Linked DNA regions of Tamandua tetradactyla. The main gene of each other region encodes a partner of the protein of the gene in region 2 in a complex. Links are inferred from orthologs where the notes say so. Each region holds a gene or a part of one and is shown on either strand. Other genes may lie near its edges.

Region 1 (7,620 bases), on a different chromosome or scaffold from region 2:
GGTTGTACTTTCTTGTGTGCTTGCCTGCCTCATCATCTTTTGTTGCTAACTAGACATTTTGGATATTATAATGTGACAATTCTGGAAATAAGAATCTCCCCCTTTGTCAGGATTTGTTATCGTTGCTATTTGTTGTTGCTGTTTGTTTAATAACTTTTCAGAATTAATGATGTAAAGCCTGTATTATTTATTGTGTGTGACCATTGAGGTCTTCTCTTGGTTAACTTAGTGGTCAGGTAACCGAAATTAAGGTAAGAGATTTCCCTAAATGTGTGTAACCTATATATCTCCTGGTCTTCATTGAGGTGCTCTGTCTGCATGCTGAGGGCACACCTTCAACATTCAGCCAGGCCATTTACAACTGTCTTAGACTTTACTTCCTGCTTGTGCCAAGCCTCAGCATCAGCTAGAGGTAAGAGCATGGGGCCTTCTCAGGTCTTCCTGAGCGCACACTGGCCTACAAAGGTGCGTGGCTTTCTAGATTCCCAGAAATATGTTGGAGCTTTTCAAATCTCCCTATGGACATCCCATTCTCCAACTTCTCCTTTTAGACTTTTTGGTTAGTCTATTATTTTCTCCAACTACTATCTACTGCCTCAGGCAGCTGGGATGTTAAACAATCGCCTCTGGTTGTTTTTAACAAATGTTCTTTAGAAAAAGACTGTTGACACTGGGTGAACACAGAACCAGGTCAAGTAAAGATAGCTTGCAAGTGGGGTCTCCCAGGGAACCACCTGACAGGTCAAAGAGTGACAGTTCACTGGGTTTGGGTTTGGCAGGCATTCCAACCACCTCTGCTCCCTGCAGTGGCTGCCGGGCTGCTGGTTTTCACCGAGATTGCAGAATATTCATTTTCAAGGCTACTGTGGAGCTGGGTTGGGGTGTATGGGATTAGGGCAAGTTAAAACGCCACAAAGCTTCCTGTTTTTATCGATTCAGCCGATTTTCTTGAATGAATGTTCCCCAGATCATTGCAAGACTGGGGTTAATTTCCAGAAATCTGAAAAAGTAGATTCTGACCATTTTTGCCTGTGCTCTCATTGCTATTCTGGAAGAAGGGATTTTTGGAGGCCCTTACTCCGCCATTTTTGTCTGAAGTCACCCAAAGTTAATATATCTTAAACACTTAGAACAATGCTCTACATGCAGCGCTACCTTGGTGTCTGTTGTTAATATAATAGTTGTGCTATTAATGACGAATGAGAGACCACGGGTGAAGCCTTTTCCTTTCCCTGGAAAAGAATGTCCCAGGGAGCATGGGAAGGGTGGATCGGAGAGGAAAAAGATGTCTCCTTGCAGCGTGGCAGAAACATACTTTAGAAGTTTCTTGGGCAGAAGGTGGCACTTGGTGTCACTAGCATGGGAGGCTGGATTCACAGCTGGACTAGGGCAAGAAGGCGTCAGGGTGGGCCCTGCTCGGGCACCAGGCTGCGCCACGCCCACTGCTCCCCCATGGAAAGACTGGTCCCCAACCGCTAAGCCATCCCTTCCTGAGTGGACTGTGCTCACACTCCCTCACTCATCTGCCCCACGAACTCGTCAGCCTCTAAAAGGCATGTCTCCAAGGTTGGTGGGCAGAACCATGACAAAGTGTCTCCATGCATGATTCCTGAAGAAGCTGCCCTGTCCTGCCCTGCCCTGCCCTGCCCAGCCGTGCCCGGGTGAGTTGTCTGGATGACATCTGTTTACAGGGTGTGCTCAGCAGTGGCGAGGGGCACAGGCTTCAGTGTTATATGATACCCTTCAAACACATGCCCTTGCCTGTTAAGGCCTTCAGCCCCAAGTCTCTGTTTTTCCAAGACAGCTGAGTATTTATGAATCTTCCAGGCATCTAGTGGGGGTGAGCAAGGCAGGGGTTTCTTGGAGCAAGCAGGAGGGAAAGGGAGAGAAAGGAGAGCAGCTAGAAGGGATTTGGGCTTCTGTGCCCATGCCTTGCATAGACTGCAAAATATTTGGAGACTCAGCACTGACTTCCTTAAAAGGCAAGTTTCAAGGAACATCCAGTCTGATAAGACAGGAAGTAATTCTGAAAATCAGGCGGGATGCCCCACACCCTTGTCCACTGTCACACTGGCAGGATGTTTGTGGGGATGGGAAGGGACTTGGGTTGCTGACCCATATTTTACAGAGAAGGAGGAGGCCAAGAGAGGCCTTTGCCTCACCCCAGCCTGTATTCATTCAGGGGTCTATGAACACTGTGTGGCCAGACAGGTCTCTGGTTCTCTTCTAACATATGGCGCATTTCCTGTGAATACAGAGGGTTCCCCATTTGCAGAATCAAGACCAGTCACTCTAATACCTTACATTCTTGCCTGAACGTGTGGTTCAGTCACTCGTTGGGAACTGAAATTACGGCCCAGAGCTAAGGGAGGCTGTAGGGAAGGACTGAAGTTCTGAGAAAAGGGCAGGTGGCTCATCTATATATCCAGGGACGGCTTCAGGGGCACGTGACACAGGTGGTTCCTGCAGGCCACGCTCAGAAGGGTCTCACGCTTCATTTAATGCTCTCCTGGCGCCATCTTGAAATTTTTAATCACTTTGGGACCAGGAACCCTGCATTTTCATTTTGCATGGGGCCCAGACATCCCACAGCCATTCCTGTGTCCAGCCCTGCCTGGAGGCCGGGAGGGAACCTGCCAGCCCCATAGGCCCCTTCAAGCCTGAGGACACAGAGCCACCCAGCCTGTCTCTGTAGGGAGAGAGGGGGGCCCAGCAGGGTGACCGCTGCTGGGACCAGAAGTCCCCCACCTGTAAGACCCACAGTTTCCTTGTTGAGCCATCTGCCCTGTCTGTCCAGCCCTATTTTCTGGGTGAAAAGCCCCACACCTCAGCAAGACAGAAATAGCTGGAGACAAATGCCCTTATTTCCCAACCCAGTTCTGGCTGTCAGCACGGACAGACATAACTCAGATCCTCTTTCCTGGGCTAGAAGGGTTGGATGTCTGCTCTGTCCCGAGGCTGAGAGACCTGGCTCTTTTTGATTTTTCCAGGGGGACAAGGGGAGGGCAGGAGGGGACAGCGCAGACAGGGCGGGTACGTTACCCCCGGGCAGGCTGATGGGGCCGCAGCTCTCGTCCTCGCTGCTGCGCGCGGCGATCCGCTTGGTGCAGATTCTCCAGAGGCCGAAGTGGGCGGCCTCGCAGGCGGCGTCGTGCTGCTCCACCCGGGGACTCAGCACGGCCCAGTGGTCCGTCACCACAGCCACCAGGGCCAGCACGACGCCCACCAGGATGAGGGAGAGGGTCACGCGGACCTTGAGCGCTTTGGTCTGGGACATGGTGGCCGTGGAGGGATGGGGTGCTCCGGGCACGACTGGGGCGGCCGCGGCTGCCCGGCCCGAGCTAAGTTTAGTGTCCCCGCTGAGCCAGAGGGGGCCGGCCTTGGGGCTGCGGGGGCTGGGGCACGGCCGGGCAGCTGCTCTGCCCCGTCAGGGGCCTGAGGGACGGGTCTGGTAATGCCCAGCTCCAGGCGCGCGCAGGGCGCTGTCGGCTCAGGTTGCAGGGCGAGGACCTGATTTGGGGAGGGGGCTGGTGAGCGGGGCTCTGCCTGCTCGGGGCTGGGGGAGAAAGGGACCTGGCTGGGCCGGGGCTGCCTAGCCCCCCCCCTCAGCCCAGGTCCTCGCCCTGCGGGCCTAGGGGACATCCTGGGTACCCCCCGCCCAGGGCCCCCTCTCCCAGGCCAGGCCGTTAGCCCCAAGCCCACTGTGGCTCCCGGGTCAAGGGACGGTTCCAGGCGCCCCCAGGGCAGGGCATCACCCAGCACAGACCCCAGGCTGAGGATGGTATTTCCTCTCCATTTCCCTTCCCATTCCTTCTGGGGCCCCAGAATAACAATTCAGTTTGGGGGCTGTAGGTCTTGAACAACCTTTTGACATTGGCAAAGCGTCCTTTGAAACAGAGAGTGGCCCCCCCAAAAACTAAGAATTCAGATGAACTTGTCTGTCCATCTGCTTTCGTTGTACTTTTTCAGTTGTACTTGCCATTAATGGCAGGTAATGACTTTACAAAATAAATGTGTTTAAATAAACTAAAACACAGAAGTTGGTCCATTTACCAAGACTTCCAGGAGGCTAATGGGGGTGCAGTTACACCAGAGACCACGTCAAAGCTTGGGAGCACCGCAGTGGCGGGGAGGGCAGCTGTCCACAGCCCCCCACCCCACCCTGGCTGGGGCTTGAGGCTCTGGTTTCTCAGCTCAGCAGGTGGCTCTTCTAGGGTGTGTCCAAGGGGCGGAGGTGTGGCCAGAAATAGAGCCCTGAGCTGAGTGGGATCCTGAGCTTCCAAGTCTTGGAGGGGTCTGGTTGTGAGAACACAGAGTGCTGAGAACGGAAATGACACTAACCCTAGCTCCTCTTTGGTGAGTGCTTACTATAAACCTGGCACTCCACCAAACCCTGCACACGTCATCACAGCCGACTGTCACACTTATCCATGAGGTGGGGACAGCTGTAGCTCCCATTTTATAGATGACAATACCGGGCTCAGAGACACAAAGTAACTTATGCAAGGTTGCACAGCTAGTAAGTGGTGAACCCGGAGTCCACGCCCTTAAGCAATGATTGGAGCTGGGAGGAAACTTCAAGCTCTATGAATCTTGAATCTATGAAGTGACTGAAAAGGAAATCTGCAGCCCAGAGAGAGGCTGTGACGAGCCCAGACTATCCGTCAACAAGCTCCAGAGCTGAGCTGAGATCCTGGGCTCTGGCTGCAAGCCTGTGCTCTTTCACCTGCATCTGAATCCCTGTGCTAAAACCAGCCCCGTGGGCACCGCTCTCTCTCCCCATCTGGATTATTTATCGCCCAAGAGCTTCTCTCACAACCTTTCTCAGCTCTGCTTCCCTTCTCTTCCCACCCTCCCCGCCTCTGTGTTTCCAGGGGGAGCTAATCCATCACAGTGAACTCACTCACTTCTTGAAGCCTGTCACCGCCCCTGCTTCAGCGTGGGGAGTGGCTGCCTCCAAGAGAATTCCGAGATCCTGGGGACACAGCCCCGCAGCCCCGGAGCTCGGAGCTTGTTCACGCCGCCCACGTGGGCTGGGCCTCAGAAGAAGCCCAGGCAAAGTCCCGCCGGGAAACAGGGTCCTCGGGGGGTGCTGGAGAGCCTGAGGCAGACGCACCATGTGCCTGCCACTTGCATCAGCAAAGCAGGGCAGGGAAGCAAAAGGATGAGGTTCTGGGGTTTGATGACAGAATATCTAGAAAGAAGCTATTTTAATTTCCACATGCAAGTAACTGACGTGTCATCTGAAAAAATAAAAATGTATTTTAAATTTCTTAGTGAGGTGGATGTGAGCCCCTTAAGCTCCCCAAGGCTGGGAGCCTCTGACGTCTTAGAGGTGTCTTAGGTGGGGCCTGGCGTGGGGGACACTCAGGGTTAGCCACGCGAGACCATCTCGTGAGAGCAGCAAGAGAGCAAATTTCCTCACCTAGGGGCAAGTCTGCGCTGCATGTGAACTTTTTTGTCCTCCAACCGAGTGAGCAAAAGCGTTAAAGATGGGGGGCCTCTTCCTTTGGAATTCATCTTTGCAAATCTCACCAGACAGCTGGCAGCTTCAGAGAGTGTAGGCAGGTCAACTTTCAGCCTCAGTTTCCTAAAAACTCCTGTCTGCTCATAGAACCACAGCCAGGCTGCCTGCTCCCCCAGGGCGTTGCCCGCCAGGAAGGGGCTCATTGGCCACTGCCACTGGCTGGGAGCCGGGGCTGGGGGATGACCCGCCCCTCACCCCTCCCACCCAGGGATCATTCTCTTCCAGCACCTCAGGGTGGAGGGCGTGGGGGGCGGTGAGCAAATGGAAACCCACCCGCCCATCAGTGCCTGCGCCAGCCAGTCCCGGGATGAAGTCCCTGCTCTGCCGTGTTCCAGCCGTGGAGCTTCGAGCGAGTCCTAACCTCTCCAGACGGCCTTATCCTCATCTGTGAAACAAGGGCGCTGGCGCTTGGCGTGGGGGCTGGTGGGTGCATTAGAAATAATGCACTTAGTCCCCGGGAGGCAATCATTCCAGGAAGGCTGGGATGATGGTGTTAGTTATGGCCCACAGAAGGATCACTTTCCCCTAATGGGCTGTGAGCTTCTGGGGGGTATGGAGGATGAGAGGCACAGCACCCGGCTCAGGATGGGCTCTGCATCAGCGTTTGTTGAATGATGGATGGATGGATGGACTGATCAGAAGGACTGATACAGTAAGAAAAAGAAGGAAACAGAGGCACAAATAATTTACTGCCCTATGTTATTGAAAAGACATTTCCACCTGGCTTTAAGATCAGAGGGACAGAAGAGATGGCAGCTGGGGCAGACCTGGGGCCACCTGGGACAAGGGACTAACTTGCTTCGAGATGCTGAGGGCTGTCAGGAGGCCCAGGCGACCTCTGGAATGTCAAGGTCAAAGGGAGCATCATCCGGAGGGCTGACATTGTCTACAGATCGTTTCAAAGTGGACATCTGGGAGTTGTCTGTGTTGTGCGCATCCGAAATGAACCCCTTTCGTTTGCCCTGGGAAGCTTCATCTGGAGGCTTCGGTGGGAGCCGGGGCCAGGCCACGTCAGGCCGACAGCCAAGTAACTGCCCTTCGGTAATGCGCTGATTCGATTTTGAGCTCAGGCTTAAATAGGCTCAAGCATGGCTTTGGGTGTTTGATTTAAAATACCATTTCGAAAAAAGCGAGGGGCCATCCTAATGTGCCTCCACCTTCTGACCTCCGCATTCCACCTCAGATCCCCCGTTGCCCTCTGGCTCTCTGCCCCCACTTCCATCCCCTGGGGGCCCCTGCACAGCGTGTCACCTGTCCCCTCCCCCCGCCCTGCAAGGCTTTCCCAGAGCTGCCCTGGGAGGCCTGCAGGTGTCTGCGGAGCAGCTGGAGAGTAAAAGCATATTTACTAAAGTTCAGCAGTGCAAAGAACGCTACGAGATCAAACACCCACAACGCCTTCGCTGTGGGACATGGGGGTTGCCCAGGCACGTGCATTTTTTAAATTTTAAGACATTTACATTTTATTGAATGGGGATTGGAAGTATCCAAACCGTGCTTTCGTTAATACTATTTCTTCAGGGCAGGGCCAAAATAAGAATAGTCCATTTCAGATGAGTAAAAAAATATGGATTAATAAATAAATAAATAATGAGGGGACAAAGAGTAAAAGAAATAGAGTGGATGGAAACACTAGAGGTCAACGAGAGGGAGGGGTAAGGTGTATGGTATGAGTTTTTTCTTGTTTCTTTTCATTCCTTTTTCTGGGGTGATGCAAATGTTCTAGAAAATGATGGTGATGAATACATGTGATGATATTGTGAGTCATTGATCGTACACCATCTATAGAATGTATATATGTTGAAGATTTCTCAATAATAATATTTTAAAAAGAAAAATAGAATAGTCAATTTAAAGAAAAAAGAAGAAGTAGTAACCATTCAGGCGGTGCCTGGGATGTGTGAGGGCGCCAGGCCAGTGTACGTCAGTGACAGGGGCTTGGGGCATAGGCACAGACGCAGCCCTGAGCCCCAGCTCTGCCGCTGCTGAGCCCTGTGGGAGATGTTTAACCCTGCTGAGCCTCTCTGCCTGCAAAGCAGAGAAGACATAGTGTCTGCTCCGTGGGACGAGAGTGACAATGAAGCACAGTGACGTGA
Region 2 (7,590 bases):
GCAAGGGATGCTGGCTGGTGTTGCACTGGCCCTGAGTGTTTGGATATAGCCATCCGCCTCCTTAGAGCTCATCTTCCCCAGTCTCTACCCTTCCAGGGTGAAGAGGAGGGTACAAGCTGCCAACTCCTGAAAGTTATTTCCCCTTTACTCTTCCCCACCCCCAACTTTCCTCCCACACCTGCCAGGGCAACTGGCCAAGTGTGGGCAGCAAACAAAACACAGACTGAGAAGGCAACACAAAGCTATCTCCCTGGGCATGGGTGAGGTTGGGCCCTGCCTACCACCTGGCCTACATTCCCCCCAACTCCTTCCCTAAGCCCAGGGGAGATCAGGCCCTGGAGAAGGGCCAGGCTTGTGCCAGGCAACCCAGCCAAAGAGTCAGACCCTGGGGACGCAGGGGGAGGGTCTCTAGTAAGCAAAGCAAAGAGAGTCTCTGAATCCTGCCCATACGAAGGGCAATGAGGGTGTATTTGGAGAACCCCAGAGCTCATCTTCAGGGCTATGAGGGAGATACACAAATGAAAAAGGGAAGCTGGACCCTGGGACAAGAGACCTGAAGTCAGGATATCTGAGTTTCTCCTCAGTCTAGGGAGAAAGGAATGTTGTTTTCTACTTTAGTTTCCCTTCTTTACGGGCAGAAGACTGAAATGATGCTTCCCTCAATTCTAAGTACAGGTGGCAAACAAGGTAGGAGTCTAGATAAGCTGTTCGTGTGTGTGTGTAGGGGAAGAAACTTTAGTCCAGTGTCCAGAATGTTCTCAGACCGAGGAATATTTCCCCAAGTTCTCTGTGCATAAGTACCTCGCAAGAGGCAGCAGAGACCAGATTCTCAGTGGGAACACATACCTACTGTCCACTTGGCCTCTGCCCCAGTCGTCTCTTGGGCAGGAGGGCTTGTCAGCTTGGTCTTAGCCTAGGTCCTAGAGCTTAAGCTATAGATAACATCTGTGGTAGACCAAACGCATGAAGATAGCACAAGGGGGGGAAAGTCTTAATTTTACAGAGGAGTTGAGTCTGTCTGCTCTTTCTCATTTCTCATGAGAGTAAAATAAGGCTTGCTTGGCAGCAGGAAGGAGAGGCTGATCCCCAGGAAGGATCTATGCATTGTCAGTAGGAGGGACGTCTTTCCCAGGGGTCTGAGTATAAAAGAGATACCTCTGCAGGATACGGCTGTGTGAAGTAGATAGGGGCTGATAGGCTCGGAGACAGGAGGAAAGGCAGGATAAATTAATATCAGGTACCTCTTAGATGCCTAGCACTGAGCTGGGAGAGGAGTCTAACCTTTACTCCCTGTCCTCTAGGCTGTCAACCTAATAGTAATCTTAATGTCCCCGCCTGGGACATCAGGGTTACCTGGCCTCCCATCTAGGATGGGAATGACAGGATCTCTCCTTAAATATTAAATAAGCTGTGCTCAGAATGGAACCCCCTCTTCATTACTCCCAAGTCCTCAGGGCTCACTCATCTCTGATGCTCTGGCGTCACTGAGGGAGGCCAAGACTCCTCTTCCAAGTACACTGTGGGGTCTTGTCTCCCCCATCTCCTGCTTTGCCAAAACAGTCACAGGCTCAGTACTTTGGAGCTGCCAGGAGTTGGCACAGAGCCCTGGTGGTGCCCCCCTTGCCTGGTGAGTGTGTGGGCAGGCTGCAGCTCCACTCTTGCCTGGCACGGGGGAAGGCGAGGAGGGAGATGAGCCGGTAGATTTATTTCGAGTCTGATCTCCCTCCTACTTCTTCAGAGGGGGCCTCAGGGAGAGCAGGGAGCCAGGCAAGAGAAAGGGAAGTGGGGGCAGGGGATCTAGGAACCAGAAAGGGGCAGGAAGGGAGCAATAGGTTTTCACACAGCCTTCAAACGCCATCCACCTTGCAACAGCTCCTTCCTTCTCTCTCTAGGGATGTGAAGAACCTCCCGGCTCCCCTCCAGCCCCACAGAAAGGTCCCTTTTTCAAGCTCCCCTTGGCACCCTGGGCCATGCCAGCTGTCCCTTCATTTTTCAGACACGGGCCTTGAAAATGATGTGCTCTAGCTGCTAGGTAATTAGCCCCAGAGGCCCAATGGGGAACTAGGCCCAGCCGGAGCCCAATCCCAGAAAAGGACTGACAGCCTCCTATTCTGAGCCCTAGCACTCATCTATCCTGAGCCTGGCATCAAGAGATAGGAAAGAGCTTGAATACACTTCATTTTTAGACCCAGTAGTGTTGGTAACCATACAGTTCTACCCTTCACAACAATCAGGGGGTCCCTTCTAAGACATCTATCTGGTGGTCCTCTTCCAAGGAGACCTTCTTTCAGGTTTAAGGGAAGGTTGATAACTCCAGGAGTCTGAAAAGCTGCTCCCCATCCATGCCCCCTCTTTCTAGATCCTGTCCCTGATCTCTGAGCTCCGGGAATCACTGCCTAATGAACTGCCTTGTCTCAGTGGGTCAGGAGATAAAAGCAAAGAGGAGAATTAAATATTTATTAGTTGCCTGGTTCTCTGAGCAAAGAGCTTCCTCTCCAACCTCAGGCCTTCGGCTTCTCTGGCCTCACCTCCGGGCCCTCCATGCTGAGCAGGGATTCAGGGTGCCTACTGCTAATGAGGAAGCCTCAGCAGGGAGCTGTGGAATGGATCCAGCTTGGTCAACCAGCCCACCTATGTAGTGGGTGCCTGGATTTCAACCTTGGTCAGAAGCTGGGCTACAGAAGTGTGAGGAGATAAGGCAATGCGCAGACATGGAGGGCAGGAAGGGATAATGGAGGTTCTCAAGTTTTATGATCCCTCTTTATGAAAAGGCTAGGACCAGACTCCTTGATGTTCTCCCAGGCTCCCTTATTTTTTGCTGACTTGGGGCACTGGTCTGGAATGTCCCCCTCCTCAAGAGCCCCAGCTCCTCCTGTAGCTGTTGTGTTTAGATCCCATAAATCCTCCTCTTCGAACTCTAGACATTGCGTCGGCCCTCTCTAAAGCATCTGTGCCATTTATCTCCACTCCTCCATTCCTTCCTCCCTCCACTCCTCCCGTTCTATGCTTGAGAGCCACCTGCCCAAGCCTTTTCCCCAAACTGCCCCCTACTTGCTCGCATCCGATGGCCCTTGGTCTAGGACTAGGGCACTGGGGAGCCCCCGGCATGAAATTCCACCTCCCCACTTTCCTACAGCGCCCCCACCGTTGCCCTGCCACTGAGGCTTTTTTTTTTTTTTTTTCAAAGTCCTGAACTGGGGGAAGGGTCCAAAGGAGAGGAGGTGCCATCCCAACTCCCCACCCCCACCCTCACCGTGGGCACTCACCGCCTCCGAGTCCTCAAACCCGGGCACGTAGGAGTCGTCATACATGGGGGAGTCCGGGTGGGGGGAAGCGAGCGGCGCCGGGGCGGGAGCGGCCGGGACGCAGGGGCGAAGGCAGCGGCCGCGCCCGAGAGATGCCACCGAGCCCCGCAGCCCGGCGGGCGGCGGCGGCGGCGGCGGCGGCGGCAGCGGCGAGCGAGAGAGCGCGAAGCAGGCAGCGAGTCGCGAAGACCAGCTGCTCCCAGCTCAAATCACCGCTCCCCCTACTCCTCCCCCCCAACCCCGCTGGTCCCACCCCAGGAGCGGCTGAGGAATCTGGCGCCGGCTCCTACAACAATAGTGCCCGCCCACCTGCCTCCCCTCCCCGGGAGAAGGCGGGGTAGGCGGTGGGGGACGCTGGCCACTGGGGGAGCTCTGGACTGGGCCGGGAGAGGGTAGTAGACCGGAGCTGGGTAGAAGGTGGGTCCCCAAGCACCTATGGGGCAGAGGGGGAGGCGGGGAGGAGGGGGAGGAAAGGGAGGAGAGACAGCGGGTGGGGCGGATCCAGGCTTGGAGGAGGCGGGGCGAGGAGAGATGCGGAGACCCAGACGCCAGGCAACCCAGGAAATACTCCGTCGGGAAACAAAGGGCTGGAGCGGGGGAGGGGAGGGGACACCGAGACTGGGAGGGAGACGAGACTCGAGCTGAGAAAGGAGAGGGCGCAGGTTACCGGGAGTCAGGAGAGAAAAAGAAGGGATAAAAGCAGAGGGAGGAAGCGGGGAGACAGGGAAATGGGGAGACTGAGGAAAACAGAAGAGGCGTGGGGGAGGGACAGCTGCAGACGGGGGAGGGGCCCCAGGTGAGAGGGCGGTGTGTCTGGGCCCTGGCAGTCCTGGAGACTCCAAAAGCAAACCTCTCAATGGAATTGGTGAGAAATGAGTTTGGTGACGGAAGTCAACGCCATGAAAGCAGCCCCTATCCCAACAGGTGCCCACCCCCCTCAGTCCAGAGATGCTTCAGCAAAGGGTTGTGTTGCCCAACCCCGTACTGAGGGTAAGGGGCGGGGTGGGGGGTGGGTGTGTGGGGGGGTGGGATGAGATGGTGGTGGTGGTAGTGGTGATGATGTTTCCTGAGCTGGGGTTAGGCTGGCAGATTTCATTTTAGTCTAGCAGGGATGGAGGTTCCCTTCCTCACTTCCCTGACAAGGACTGTGCCAGCTCCTCGGGAACTGGAGCTGGGAGAGGCTGTCTTAGCTGAGCCTCAAGGGAGGGGGGAAGAAACAAGTGGATGGAGGTAGGGGGGTTATTTTGGGTAGGAGAGAAAATAGGGTCCTGGCCACACTGGAGTTGGAAGGGAGAAAAGGCATGTCTCCCCAGAGTCACTGGCACTGGCGTAAGACTAGATTCTCTCCTTAGCAAAGATGAGGGCTAGGTATTCAGATTCCATGTACCACTCTGCACCAGTCAGTCTCCTCCAGAGGAGCCCCAAGATTAGAGACAGAGCCATGGCCTTATCTTGAAGAAATTTCTCCAAAGATGCCCCCATTGAGCTCCCTCCTTTCTTCATCTCCTGAGCAAAGTTAGTTCTCTAAATTTTGATTAATGGTCTAGACTGCCTACCCACCAACCTGCCCAGCCCACTCCCCTCAGGGGGATGACAGAAGTAGACAAGGGGTTACACACTTGGTGAGAGGTCTTAGGCCTCCTAGTGTCTGGACCTTTGTCCCTGAGCTTGATTTTTCTCTATTCCCAGTTTTTCACACCTCACTATGAGGGTGAGATAAGAAAATGGGGGTGTGAGAGCCTCTATAAACTAAAAATCCCTGCCCAATTGTAGGGAGTTATTGTTATCACTTTAATAACCATTTAGTGATGCTTCTTTCCCTCTCAATAATGTGTTGAAGGAAGATGAACAGGAAGGGAAGAGTTTAGAATAGGGACCTCTCTGTCCATGAGCAGAGGGTGGGGAATGGGGGAGGGATAGTGGGAAGGGTATATGGTATAGTAGCTAAAAGATGTTTGGAAGTTAAGATACTTGCATATTAATTTTGGCTCTGCCACTAAAAAACTATGTGATCCCAGTCAAGTTACTTATCTCTGAGACTATTTCCCGCTCCTTAAAAGAATGTTGGGCTAGACTTTCTGGGGGGTCTTTTAGCATTGAGACTTGGAGTCTAGGAGAGGGACCACCAAATGTTCCTTACCCATCTCTGCTCACTAATTTATTCCTTCCACAAACATTTATAGAACATCTTGCTCTAAATAATTCCCAGTCTCTTCCTGTTTCAGGGCTAGAGGAGACTCAGGAAACCAAAACTTGACAAGGTTCATGGGCTCTTTGGTAGAAGGGCCTATGCGTGGGAGAGAAGAAGACCCTTAAACCAGTCGGCTTCCCATCTATGCTACTTGTTTGTGCTTGCTTGGCAAGGAAAAGAGAGAGAAGGGGCCTCATCTTAAAACTATTTTTAGTTTGCCTTTAGTCTGACTGTGCCTGTGGATGGTCCAAGCCCCGTCCAGCCCAGCATCCTCCTTCTGCTAGGTTTGGCAAACTGGATTTGGCTGGAGCCCCTACAGCTGAGGGGACCAGTCCCTATTGTGAATGCAGTTTGCTTTCACAGTTCCCTATCCTGAGGTTATTATATATTGGATTATTATATATAATTTGAGGTTATTATATATTTTAATATATAATATTAAATTGGGAATCCCCCAACACACTGGCTTTTCACTTCTTTGCCCTCTCCCACTTTCATAGCATTCCCTCTATCCTCCTCTTTTATTCTCTCTGCCACTTCCATTTCTTCTGTCCATTTCTTCTGGGGGCAGAGAAGAGATCTGAAGTATGAAACAATAAGACCCTTAAGGGGCTTGCTCCTAGGAGAGGATTCCAGTGAAGACAGATGCTGAGTCGGCTGCTTCACTCTCCATCCCTGAATCTAATCTGCGGGCATCTCTTTTTTGTACTCTCCCTAATCCCAGGGAGTCCTGGAGACTGCAAATAACAATGGACCTGTATCAGCAGTACGCCTTCCTCACACACCTTGTTGTCTTCATCCACATCTGGGACAATAGTGCATAAGTCTGCGCATGAGGCATGAATTGCCATGCCAACAAATCCCAGGAGATGGATTCAATCTCCTCACACCTGGCCCATCCCCTGGGTTCTCCTGGTGCTTTGGAGCCTCCCTTTCTTCTTGTTGTATCTCTGGGTTGCTACCAATGCCCTCTACCATTTGGTAGACGAATGTCTTCTCTAATTCTCAGGCCAACCTAGTGATTCCTATCTGTAGCAGGACATGTCAGTATCCCTAATCTTTTTTCTTTCTCATGGCTGGGCCTAAGGGGAGAATGCTGAGGGCAAAAAGGATCAGGGGAGGTACAATGGTGGCTCAGTGGCAGAATTCTCGCCTGCCATGTCAGAATGTCAGAGACCTGGGTTCGGTTCCTGGAGCCTGCCCATGTAAAAAAAAAAAAGGATCAGGGTCCAAGCCTTGAGGAGAGGACTCCTTCTGCCAATCTCTGCCTAGACGAGATTAGACTGGCAAGTAGCCAGGCATTGAAGCAGGACAGAGGGGGCAAAGTCTGAGTAACCAGGTTTGGGAAGTAGAGTTCTTGGGTGCCTCCAGAATACATTCTAGCTTTTCTCATTGCACCAGGAAGCTGTGTAGATCCTAATCCCTGAGCCTTGAAGGGGGAAACTGAGGCAGGAGCCAACACCTCTGCAAAGTCCTCCCTCCAGGAGTCTCCAACAAGTGCATTCTAGGGGCTAAACTGACGCCAGGGAATTCCGGGTGAGGTACCAAGGAGAGTTCAGCAGAGCCCTCCCTACTCCCTCTAATCTTGCCCCTTTCCAGCTTCCCATAAATCCTCTCCTCCCTTCCCAGTTCTAATGCTTAGGAGCTGCCAGCTCTGGCTTCTCCCTTCTACGGGTTGCCTTCCACCCTTGGTCTGGCTTCCTCTGGTCTCCCTCCCCTACCACCCATTAGGGAGGGGGCCCGCGTTTACCTCGTTCAGCAGGAAGGTTGCACTGGAGTCAGAAAAAGACATAGACCGGGCTAGTGGCCTCTCCCCCTTCCCCGGGCCCGGGGCTCCGAGGCGGGAGCAGGACCCGGCCGCCGCTCCGCACACTGGGTGCTTTCTGCACGCCTTGCCTCGCCCCACGCCGGCTCGGCTCCTCCGCCTGCTCCCCTCCCTCTTGCCGGGTCCGCTCCCCTCCCTCCTGTCGGTTCCCTCCCCCTTCCCTCCTCCTTTCTTTCCCTCCCTTTCCCCTCCTATCTTGGCGCCTCTGTCAGTCTCTTTCGCTGTTCTTTCGCCTTTCCTTCCAGCCTATCTCCCTCCCCGTTTCTTCT

What was found.
Region 1: CACNB3 (region 2) and CACNG1 share a complex: the UniProt entries of both Homo sapiens proteins name them as parts of the calcium channel complex. The link is inferred for Tamandua tetradactyla from reciprocal best matches to the Homo sapiens genes CACNB3 and CACNG1.

Annotation. Positions count from the first base shown.
Region 1 is NC_135332.1:7,078,176-7,085,795, forward strand, and holds the start of CACNG1 (voltage-dependent calcium channel gamma-1 subunit), read right to left. Parts: upstream 3,332-7,620; 5' UTR 3,278-3,331; coding exon 3,043-3,277; intron 1-3,042. UniProt on the Homo sapiens protein: Regulatory subunit of the voltage-gated calcium channel that gives rise to L-type calcium currents in skeletal muscle. Regulates channel inactivation kinetics.
Region 2 is NC_135333.1:109,718,226-109,725,815, reverse strand, and holds the start of CACNB3 (voltage-dependent L-type calcium channel subunit beta-3), read right to left. Parts: upstream 3,338-7,590; 5' UTR 3,312-3,337; coding exon 3,267-3,311; intron 1-3,266. UniProt on the Homo sapiens protein: Regulatory subunit of the voltage-gated calcium channel that gives rise to L-type calcium currents. Increases CACNA1B peak calcium current and shifts the voltage dependencies of channel activation and inactivation.